Saccharomyces cerevisiae S288C: one gene and its partners. The protein of the gene in region 1 interacts with the protein of each later gene in a pairwise test. Each region holds a gene or a part of one and is shown on either strand. Other genes may lie near its edges.

What was found. Proteins that work in one complex are often made in the same cells at the same time.
Region 2: the proteins of UIP3 (region 1) and VBA5 interact in a protein complementation assay, tested with the Saccharomyces cerevisiae proteins (one large-scale study listed by BioGRID).
Region 3: the proteins of UIP3 (region 1) and ATR2 interact in a protein complementation assay, tested with the Saccharomyces cerevisiae proteins (one large-scale study listed by BioGRID).

The regions. Positions count from the first base shown.
Region 1 is NC_001133.9:181,544-185,392, reverse strand, and holds UIP3 (DUP240 family protein UIP3), read right to left. Parts: upstream 1,624-3,849; coding exon 916-1,623; downstream 1-915. Other genes in the region: KTD1 (DUP240 family protein), read right to left, coding at 1-501.
Region 2 is NC_001143.9:657,778-662,044, forward strand, and holds VBA5 (basic amino acid transporter), read right to left. Parts: upstream 2,688-4,267; coding exon 939-2,687; downstream 1-938. Other genes in the region: GEX2 (glutathione exchanger), read left to right, coding at 3,665-4,267. UniProt on the Saccharomyces cerevisiae protein: Transporter required for vacuolar uptake of basic amino acids.
Region 3 is NC_001145.3:823,791-828,052, forward strand, and holds ATR2 (Atr2p), read right to left. Parts: upstream 2,562-4,262; coding exon 939-2,561; downstream 1-938. Other genes in the region: phosphoribomutase PRM15, read left to right, coding at 1-841; DNA-binding transcription factor CAT8, read right to left, coding at 3,238-4,262.

The sequences.
Region 1 (3,849 bases):
ACCAGAATTCACTTCCTTGATAAGAGTGGTGAAGAACTCATGGCACTTCTTGCCGCTATAGAAATAGTACGGGGTATACCATAGTCTCTTCATGAATAGATATTGGTTCATATTATATGCGACAGTACCCCATTCCTTCCCCGCAGGCTTGCGTGCGATCACCTCCACTAAAAGCTTTATCATGAACTCCTGTTCAGTGATCGCTTTCCCGAATGTGAATGCTGCAACCACCATTAAAGCCATGGAGGCTACTATAAGGGACATCACTAAGATCACAGTGCACCCGTCGTTATCATGAAAAAGCACAATCAATGAGATCAAACTCACGATTATGATGATCATAAACATGATCGGTTTACAATGAGCAATTTCATAAAGTACATAACTCAGATGTGAACTGAATGTGTCTTCGGGAAGAGCTACATTCTCTTCGATTAAATGTGCACTGGGTTCGTCGAGAGTATCCATCTTTACGTCGGTATTTTCTGAAGGTGTTTGCATGGTCAATTGATATCTTGCCTTAATATGGCACTTATAGATGTTATCCTGATCAAAATAGCCAGCTGTTTTATGCTTTTTTAACGTTGTTCACCATTGTATTTATTATTTTTGAGGCATTTTTCACGTATTGTTGCAACGTCCCGAAGGGATTCGATGTGATCGAAAAGCGTCCCGGCTGATCTATTGTGATGACCAGCTATCTCACGTTGGCGAGCATCAAGCCGAGGATCATAAAGCAAAATATATAATAGCATTTGCATCTAAAGTAAACTACATAAAATTTGTTTCGAGCGTACATAACTTTTACACCCAGATGGACTGACACTTAATTGCGGGCTTCGTAATGTTCTTGAAGTTAATGATGCTCGTACATTTTATATTAGAATATACTAGATAAATACCAAAAATTCGGCCCTAAGGCAAATCAACCTCTGGGTATTGCTTTCTCCAATACTCAAATTCAGCTTCTTTGTGAATTTCCGCAGCTTTAATAAGGTAAGCTTCTAAAACTGGATCAGAACTAAAGATATAAGGTTTTACCATCTCATTTGAAACCTCTTTTGCTGGTGTGTTTGACTGCGTATTCTCTGCACCGTTCGTTGGTGAACTCAAATGTGCATTCGACCTTGTCTGTTTGATAAGGCTTTTGAAAAATTTATGGCACCTATGTTCACAAAAAAAGTAATACGGAGTATGCCATATCCCATGGTCAAACAGATACTGGTTCATATTATATGCGATTATTCTCCATTCCTTCCCCCCTACTGCTGGTTTACGTGTAATGACTTCTACTAAAAGCTTAATTATGAAACCCTTATTCAAGGTCTCAGACACGAAGGCAGTTATACCGATCAATAAAATGATAATAGAGAGGATAAGAGAAATCACTAAAAACACAAGGATACCTTTGATATCATGAAAAAACGTAATCAATAAAACCAAACACACAGGTATTAGGAACATAATCATTAGCGGTTTACAACGAGCGATTTCATTAAGTATATAACTCCAGTACGAATTGAATGTATCCTCTGGAAGAGCCACATTTTCCTCGATTAAATGTGCACTGGGTTCGTCGAGAGTATCCAACTTGACGTCGGTATTTTCTGAAGGGGTTTGCATGTTGAATTGATATCTTGTCTTGTGTAAGGTTATTATATGGTTTTGGAGGTTGTTATGCTGATTCGAATTACGACTTGATCATGATACTAATTGAGCTTTGACGAAATATTTTAGCAATTCAGAACCCCTTTCATATTCTTTTTTTTTTTCATTTTTAGAGGCGTTTTTTCACTGATAGGTACAGCCTCCGAAATAATATATAGTGAAGATATAATAATAATAGTGCGAGCCTTTTACAGGGCCATTATGATCATGAGTGAGATCCAGAAAAGCACATTGCATGGCAGTCGGATGTTGAGAATTGGGGGAATTTTGAGATAATTGTTGGGATTCCATTGTTGATAAAGGCTATAATATTAGGTATACAGAATATACTTGAAGGTTCTCCTCGAGGGTCTAGGAATCCCCATAATGGAGTCTATATTTCTATATACCAATCTTACGATTATTCCTCATTCCGTTTTATATGTTTCATTATCCTATTGCATTATCAATCCTTACACTTCAGCTTCCTCTAACTTCGATGACAGCTTTTCATACCTTATGCCATCATCTCTACACCGTATATGATAATATATTGATAATATAACTATTAGTTGATAGACGATAGTGGATTTTTATTCCAACAGAATTGCATTCCAACACATTGCCCCTAGCAATAATAGAAGTCCTACAATTATCAGATTTTTTAGCCAATTCTCAGCAACAAATCTAAATAGCAATTGCTCTTTTTAATTAATGGTTTACAGTTGTGATGCAACGCAATCCTTTTTCTTATAATTGGTTTACATATTTTATCACTGAAAATAATGTTGTATTACGGGCTCGAGTAATACCGGAGTGTCTTGACAATCCTAATATAAACAGTCTTAGGGAAGTAACCAGTTGTCAAAACAGTTTATCAGATTAATTCACGGAATGTTACTTATCTTATATATTATATAAAATATGAATCATACTAAGTGGTGGAAGCGCGGAATCTCGGATCTAAACTAATTGTTCAGGCATTTATACTTTGGGTAGTTCAGCTAGGGAAGGTCGGGTTTTGTCTCATGTTGTTCGTTTTGTTATAAGGTTGTTTCATATGTGTTTTATGAACGTTCAGGGTGACGTATTGTCATACTGACATATCTCATTTTGAGATACAACAAATAACATACAATTTTGGCAACTTGGCCGAGTGGTTAAGGCGAAAGATTAGAAATCTTTTGGGCTTTGCCCGCGCAGGTTCGAGTCCTGCAGTTGTCGTTATTTTTTTTTACTGATGATATTTCACCTCTTCAAAGCATACTCATCTTCAACTCGGATTCAACACGAGAAAGAATTATTTAAATCGGTACAAAGCAATACACTATTCAAAATCCTATCGTTTCCCAATTGTGTTGTGCGCGCGTTATTCTGCGATTCCGTGTAAGTGCATAGAGTAGGTTGTTGCAATAAAAAATGTCTCTAAATAGCAGGCCGACAGACATAACCAAATGATTTCCGTGAACAACCTCAAATTTTCAGGCTTTGAACGTGATTTTCCCAAACCCTGTAACTTGATGTGTAAATTTAAAATGGAATTGGCATGCCAGCTATCATCCCTTAGTGCTTTCAGTCCGAGAGTCTCCATATGTCTGACTTCACGACCTAATTGAACCGGCGCCCATTTCTGGGACATCAGCACTTGCGGTGCTGTTCCAAATAATATCTAAGGTAAGTTTAATGGCCCAGCCCGATCGTGAACGTTAAAGAAAGCATACGTCAAAATATTGGTACCTTATAAGAGTAAAAAAATGCTGTTTCATCTCGTTTGGTAGAGTATATATAAAAAGAGCGGTTTCTGAATTGTTGAAATTTGAACTGTTCAAGATTTACTTAGTAGTATGAACCTGCAGGGATCATCCAGAAACAAAATGCTGTAGCTTCTTCTCTGAATTGTATTTCTTTACAAAGAGCTTTGCTATTTTGCCTTGAAACAGCATATCTCATGGCGAGCGCTTCCATAGCGCTTGAAGCAGACCAAAGCAACATGCTGGAAGACCAGATTCCTAGACTATTCATGTACATCTCTACATAGTATGATCGACTTCGGGATTTTTTATTCCTTACTACGTGGTTTTTACGATGGCATGATCAAATTCTGTGAAGCTGTTTTGTCTGTCAGTGGGATCGTGCATTGTACTCAGTTAGAAGTGCGTTTGGAGCTTTGTAACATGGCACAAGTGAAGTGAAAGACGCCCT
Region 2 (4,267 bases), on another chromosome or scaffold:
TTATTCATTCCAGTTCTAGCTACGAAGTATACGATCTGCTTACGTCATATATTTGTGTGTAATTAGAAGGCATTCAGGAAGTCGCTTTTAACTTTTCAGGGCTATATGTCCTAATCCACTACTTTTTTTGAGAACTTTAAGAAATAACTCCTTTGAACCTGTCTGTGCCAAACAAAATTTTGCTGGTACATTTTATGGTATATAAACAAGCTACGTTATTATTACTTTTTTTTGATAGTTTTACTTATACTAGAAAATAATATTATATCATCACAAAAGAAACTCTCTCGTTAAGAATCCCGAATATTCAGCAGGAGCAAAAAAAAAATACCATAATTTAAATGCTTATTCAGTACTTAGCTGCTGATTTTATCGCAAGTATACTATTGGAGAGTACCGTGGTTCATATCGTGCTATTTTTATCTATATTTAAATTTATAGAAGTTTATCGTAGTATACTATGTAATTCTCTGCCGTATTGGCGGCAAAGACAAAAGCACTGACAGTAAACAGTTTTTCTGATGAGAATTTATGTCGAGGAACAAACGAAAATTTTGCTGGCCAAATTTGCTTACGCCTTTAATGTGATTGCGGTTGAGGTCTGTTATTACGCAGCTGCTATCATGTGTCTATTTGAGATTCTCTTTACAGGTTATCGCTGCATTTTTGTCAAGAAAAGAAAAGAAGACAACCTTTTTCTTGCACTGCGATGAGTATATTCAGGCTCGCGAATTTTCCAGATTTCTTACTAAAGACACATCTTTGAACGCACCAGCATGAATTTTATGAACTACTGATCCATATATTAATAGGTTTTAAGTACATATAGAATACTTAAGAAATTACATTCCATTGCGATACACCTATTTGATTCTGATTGTGTTGAAGTCTGTATAAAAGGCGAAAAAAAATAAAATGAAAATAAGAAAATAACTGCGCTACTTGTCTTCTAAATTATCTTCTGGTGTATCGTCCTTTTTTGGTATGATTAATTTCTTATTGGATGAAAAACTACAAAACAAAAATCCTAAGGCATAAAACCCTAGATCCATCCAAAATACGTTCTTAATGGAGTCGCTTAAAATGTTTCCAATAGTCGAATGAGAACCGTCGTAGTTTTGAAGACGATACAAAATCATGTCATCAACCGTTTTTCCTTCGTAAGGCTCTAGATGAGCTCGTGATACTTTATTGTGAAAGGAGGCGGAAAAAACAGTGGTTGAAAGCACACCACCAAGAGTTGTACCTAATGACTTCATGAATGTATTGAAAGCTGTTACTTCAATAAAGTCCATAGCAGCTTCTGGACGATCTTTGGTAATTTGAAGCTGTGCACTCATGAGCGATGCTTGTAGAGCAAATCCAAGGGAAAACCCCGGTAATAGCAAAACACCAATTTGAGTTGACTTCGTGGACGTATTTGTCATAAGTGTCATAAGCCCTGCTCCAATTACCCCAAGAACGCCTCCAAATATTAAGAGTGGTTTAACTAAACCGAGCTTTTTGGTAATCACACCACTTGCAATGGCCGCAATAACGTTGGTAATAACGATTGGTATCAAGTGAAGACCGGCTTTCCATGCACTCGACGCAAATATAAGTTGGAAAAACTGGACAGAGTATATCATTTGCCCATTGTAACCGGTACATAATAGAAATGTTACCATGTTTACTATTATTATGGCTGGTTTTGCTACCAATCTTCTTAGAAGGAGAGGCCTGTAGGATATATTATCAGGTTCCGGGTTGAATTTATCGAATAGGAAGAAATCGTACACCAATGAAAAAATAAAAAGTAAGACACCCAAAACCAAATATGTGATGACTTGGCCAGAGTTCCAACTATATTTATTACCACCAAAGGTTAGCCCCAGTAGGAAAAGGACCAGCCCTGCAGAGCAGAGGGCAAAACCAAAGAAGTCAAACTTGAAGATTATGCCATTCATAAGTCTTTTAAAATTAACTTGGTGTCTGAACTTACTAAAAGTAAAGCTCGAGATTGTTCCTATAGCATCTTTAATTTGTTGAAGTATACCCTTATTCTCGGCCTTATAGGTGAGTAAAAACATAATAATGGCAAGACCACCGATAGGAAGATTGATATAGAAGCACCACCTCCAGGTAACATGGGTTGTAAAGGCACCTCCGATTATAGGACCAACGATAGCAGCTACAGCAAATGCACAACTTAGGATGGAAATCACCAATGGACGTGACCTTTCACCAACCATCGTACAACCAATAACAAAGCAAAGCGTTTGGAGTCCGCTTCCCCCAACACCAGCAACAACTCTACCGAAAATGAGCATATTCATTGAAGAGGCAAGGGCAGCAATTAGGGATCCGGCTTCAAAAATAAGTATTGCTAAAATGAGACTATGCTGGAAACCTATGATAGATGCGAATCTTCCCCAAATGAGACTCAGAATAGCATTTGGTAAACTGTAGCCTGTAACGAGCCAACCTGTTTTGGAGTAGTTTCCGAACTGTTCTGCGACCACGTCAATAATAGTTCCCACTATCAAAATATCCAGTGCAGTTATGAATAGTACAAGAGTTAACGAAGCCAGGCAGAGGTACAAGGAAAGTCCCATTGGAGAATCATTGCTACCTCTAGCATTCAATGAAGCGTCTGAACCACATGCTCCTTCTATCTCCTGCTGCGAAGAGTACTTAGTTTCCTCCATATTTTTGAATTTCTATCGATTAAGCTCTATACCAGGTATGATCTGGTCTGATCAGTTCTAGGTATGAGTATAACTAGAATACATCTATATATATGTATATATATATTTAAACCAAAAAAAAAAAAAATTCGCTTCTCATAAAGGTGTGATGACACTATTATCTTTTGCATATTTTGTCGACTCGTATCATGTACGCGCTGCATATGAGGTGCGGCGCTATCTGTTAAATATGTACTAATTTGCACCTGCTGCAAAGGAAATGTGGCACTACTTTTACTCGCATGTTAACTTTCACCTACTATATATAGAAAAAAGGGTGTTGCTTTCAATCGCCGACTAATTTGCTCAAATACTCTTTACACAAAGGAAATTGTGTATCAGTAACCCTTACGGTTTGTTTATGAAGGAACTTTGCTCGTCCTACACCACCGGATCTAGGTACTCAATTTTTTGATGATTTTGCACTTGTGCTCATATCCTGTCGACAGGCACCGCATTTTTTTCCTTGTTTCAACAGACATAAACACAAGCTTCACTCATTAGTTTGAAAAGAGATAGTTTCGACGGTACAGTATTCTTGTCGTACAAAAGTCTTCGGTATAACTGGTTCGTTGTGGATTTTCGGAAAGTAAGTTGATTGTACGACGACAGGTCAAAGTTAAAGTTAAAGTCACCAGGTGTATAGACACCACATTGAAGGGGCGTCACAGCAATTTTTTTTATTTTTTTTTGATACTCAATAATTACGAGCATATAATTTTAGTACTTCCAAAAAAAAGTTAAAAAAAAAATAGTGACAAAATGTGTCAGTAAAATATATATGAGAACATGGAATGTATTAAAGTAATTCCATTTCTAGCAGATGTAGCGACCGTAGAATCTTAAATACTATTTACATAAATAAGAAAAGTAAAATAGTTTTATGGACTGGAACGAGAAAAAAAAAAAAAAGAATAATCAAGTAAATAAATTATCGGATGAGTTCTAGTGTTGTTGGTGCCTCAAGTAATAAAAAAAGTGGAATTAGGCAGTCCTGTGAGATTATTGAGCGAGAACGTCACTCAAACGATGACACGTACTCTATGACATCGACCTTTTTTAAGCTCAAAGAAAACGAAATTATGTCTGCACAGTTTGATTCCTTGAAATATAAAATTCTACTGATAAGTACCGCGTTTGTATGTGGGTTTGGAATTAGTTTAGACTACACACTTAGATCGACCTATACGGGCTATGCAACGAACTCATATTCAGAACACTCCTTACTTTCAACTGTCCAAGTTATCAATGCTGTTGTGAGTGTCGGATCCCAAGTTGTCTACTCTAGACTCTCTGACCACTTCGGAAGACTAAGGCTTTTTTTAGTTGCAACTATTTTTTATATAATGGGAACCATCATTCAATCACAGGCGACCCGTCTCACCATGTATGCAGCAGGATCGGTTTTCTATAACTGTGGATACGTCGGAACAAATCTGCTCCTGACATTAATACTCTCAGATTTCTCCTCCTTGAAATGGAGAATGTTTTACCAGTACGCCTCATATTGGCCATATATCATAATACCATGGATTTCAGGC
Region 3 (4,262 bases), on another chromosome or scaffold:
GCGACAACTAACAGGTAACGAAATCGGTTTTCTTTTTGCATTTTATGAATATCAGAAATATAAAAGTATGGACAAAGAATTTCAGCACGTTCATCCGTTGGCTATGTTAAATTCAACAGTGTCTTCACAAATGATAAAAAAAATGGCAGAAATAGAAGGGTTCCATTATGAGGATACATTAACAGGATTTAAGTGGATCGGAAATCGTGCCATACTCTTGGAAAAGAAAGGCTATTACGTTCCTTTTGGATTCGAGGAAGCAATAGGCTACATGTTTCCAGCAATGGAGCATGATAAGGATGGTATCAGTGCATCCATTGTCTTCTTGCAAGCCTACTGTAAGTGGAAAATAGACCACAATTTGGACCCGCTAAATGTCTTAGAAAATGGCTTCAAAAAATATGGCGTGTTCAAAGAGTACAATGGCTATTATGTCGTTCCAAATCCAACTGTTACAAAAGATATATTTGACTACATCAGGAATGTCTACACTCCTGAGGGCGCGTCATATCCTTCATCTATTGGTGAAGAAATCGAAGTACTTTACTATCGAGATTTAACCACTGGTTACCAATCGGATACCATAAATCATAAACCTACTCTACCCGTCGATCCTACATCACAAATGATAACAGTATCTGCTAGACCAAGTAACGGTAGTGAGAATGAGCATATCCGCTTCACTATTCGCGGGTCCGGAACAGAACCAAAACTTAAAGTATATATTGAAGCTTGCGCAAATGAAGAACAAAGAGCCTCTTTCTTGGCGAAATTGACTTGGAATGTGCTGAGACGTGAATGGTTTAGACCAGATGAAATGAATATAGTTACAAAATTTTGATACTATTTTAACCTATACATTAAGACCAAGCGACTTAAAGAATGCCATTATATTTGTTGTTTGTACCTACACTTATATCAATATACATTTAACTAGTTTATGCCTCCAAACTTCTATCTTCAGATTTTCTGTGTCGATTCCAAAGGTTTTCAAGCATGTAAGTCACACTAATCACAACACCAAGAGAAGCGAGCCCAACTCCCAGATATACAGCTGCTCGGTAACCTTTCAACAAATCATTGCCGCTTTTATTAATTTGGTGTTCAACAGTGCCTCCCATACCTAAACATAGAGACGCTGAATAATTAATAACGGTGTTTACTAATGATCCAGCCATACCTTGATACTGCATTGGAAGCCCGTCACTCAATATAATGGATGATGCCGGGAAGGACAGGTCCATACCAAAACATAAGATAGCCTGCATCGCAAAGTTCAACTTCCAATAGCTTTGTTCCACTGGCAATACACTAAACATTATGGAACCAGCGTCAAATGCCATTAGTGAAAAACATAGTAGTAGAGCTGGTCCTAATCTCTTGATAGAAAAGGCAACGAAGAATGCAGCCATGGATCCGAAAATTACGAAAACGAAATACGTACCTCCGGTCCAAACAGGACTGTAATGCCTCAAATTTAGTTGGAAGGAAACATAATAGAATGTCCAAATACCAAACGACCCCCATCCCAGGAATACCGCCAATAATATCATAATCATATGACGGTTCTTCGTCATTGCACGTGGTAGAAGAGGAACCTCTGCGTATTTACTTTCGTAAACAAAAAAAGCAACCAAGAATATCACAGATATTATCAAAAGAACAATGATATAAGGTTTGTCCCAGCCAACTATTGGTGCTTGATTCCAGACAAAGTTGAAAAGAATCAGCCCGATAATGGCAAGCGCGGACCCAGTCCAATCCATCGAAAGCCCATGAATATTTGTGGGAACGTTGTTTGGGATGGAGTACCATGCCATTAATAAACTTAGAAACGTTGCAATACCAAAGGCATAAAATACCCAAGGCCACTGATTGGGGTCTTCAGTGACAATTAACCCCCCGAATAATCCACCAAACATGCCGCCTGTTGGAGCACATGCGCCGATGAAACTAATAACAATGTTCTTCCTGAATGAACCGACCTTATAAACATGACCAACAAGCCCCATAATATTTGGTAAAATAAACGCAATTCCAACTCCTTGGAACGCACGGCTCGTAATGAAAAACGCGTCGCTATTAGAGTATTTGGAGAGACCAGAAATTATAGACCAAACGATTACGATGACATAACCAACGATCAACATTTTCTTCAATCCATAAATATCTCCTAACCTCCCACTAATAAGGATGAACGACCCAGCAGCCAAGGGAAAAGATGCCATCAACCATGCCTGATTGTTTGCTTCTGAATTAAAGGATTTCGAAAGAACGTTCATTATACAGAGAGCGTGTGTTTGGCCCGCTTGATTCAATAACTGTGCCAACATGCATGTCGCTATGAACATTAATTCTTTCCCAAAGGAACTGAAGTAAGTGGGGTCCTGCCATGGTGAGTCATTGGTCACTTGAGTTGATTTGGTTGAAGAAACAATTGTTGTCACCTCTTCATCTTCTGTGGAAACCACTACTTTATCTTTTGCTTTCACTGTAATTTTCTCATCTATCTCAGAGTCCGTGCCCTGCACGCTCGTTTTCTTTTTGAAGATTGAAAACATTTCCAATCAGATCTTTGAGTTGTATGTTTGGTGTGCTTAGATTGGTTTCCAGAACTAGCCATGGTTAAAAGATCTATTTCCATTGCCTTATATACCTATTTTTGTCCAAGCCAAATGTCTCTGAGTATTTCCTCGAAAAACTGATATGAAAGAAAATTTAGTTCGTAACCATGGCAATACTATAGCATAATCTTCGTCATGCCATTGTTATCTCATAAATAAAACTCCTATAACAAAGCAAAAAAAGTTTACGCGTTCTACGGACATTTGTGTAGGAAAAATAAAGATTTTACTTAATCAATATACGAGCCACGTTTTTGGCGTCGCATTGTCGGCGCTATTTATGCGCACCCCTGTTGCCTTCTCTTCCCTTCCGTGCAGCCTCCGCGCTGTCAGATGGTCCTCCGGTAACGTAACCATGGGAACTAGCAAAAAAATTTCCTAATCTGAAATGTAGTTCCATTAATAAATCTGAGGAACATGGGCGCTGCATCAAGATGTGTTTTGGCGTCGTCTTTGTTATCTTTTCTTTTTTCCAACAATAAATTTGGCTGTTCATAAGGTGAACGAAAGCTACGGCAATTGCCCTATTAAGAAATTATACGTAAGAATGTTATTTGTTTCATGAATATTTAGAGGATTCCGTTTTGAATATATTACACTATGAAATAAAGAATTATTTGGCGTTTTGCCATTGGAATAAATCAGATACATTATCTGTGTTGGAACTTCCGCCACCAGAACTTTTTGATCGATCTGTATTGTAACGATTTTTCTGAGGCCGTCTTGGACCACGGTGGGACGCCGAGGGCCCTGAAGAGGTCCTTCTCATTTGAAACAGTGTAGAAGGTGTATCCAACTGGTTGCCAGTTGCACTCTTTGAGTTCTCTTGAGAACTACTGTCACCTTTTGAATCATTGCCCGATGAAAGAGATCTTTGATTGCTGGTATTTCTCGTACTTACGGAGGATACCATCCCTTGACTTAAAATTGAGTCGGTAGGATTCAATACTTCTCTGGCATTCATGCGTGACCGATCCAAGTCATCGTTAAATGTCGTATCTAGGATGATGCTGTTTTTACTTCGATTTGACGTAGTAGACGTCGTGTTGGTATTTGAGATATCGGGCGTATCCACTAATAAAGGAGCCAACCCAAGTGATGCATCTACAATGTAATCATAGTCGACCCCAGAATAATTGACATTTGTCATGAAATTGTTAAAATTACCTAAATCGTTGAAATCACAGTTGTCCATTCCATGCTTTGTACTTCCAAGGATACTGCCTTGGCTGGTATTACTGCCAGTTGAAGGTGGTTTGAAGTTGGCACCTGCATTTGTAACGGCTTTTTTATTTGTTCCCGGATCCGCTGACGCGGAGTTCTGATCATTTTGGTATAAAAAGTTGTTAATACTAATATTCGAGAAAGAATTATCGTTGTTCAGCAATCTCATTAGCTTTGTTAGGCTGTAGTTACTCTTGTTGTTGAAAGAGAGATTATTCTTTTCCATATTCGTACTTTTTCCTTTCTGATGAAATTGGTTGTTTTTTGAATTCTCAGGGTTTTGCTTAATAACGGGTTCTAATTGTTCCGGTTTAGAGTCCATATTATCCTTCATTAGATCTAAATTACTTGGTAGACTGAATATCGCATCCATGTGCATAGGCTTATTCTCAATCGTGTTTTGACCTATATTGG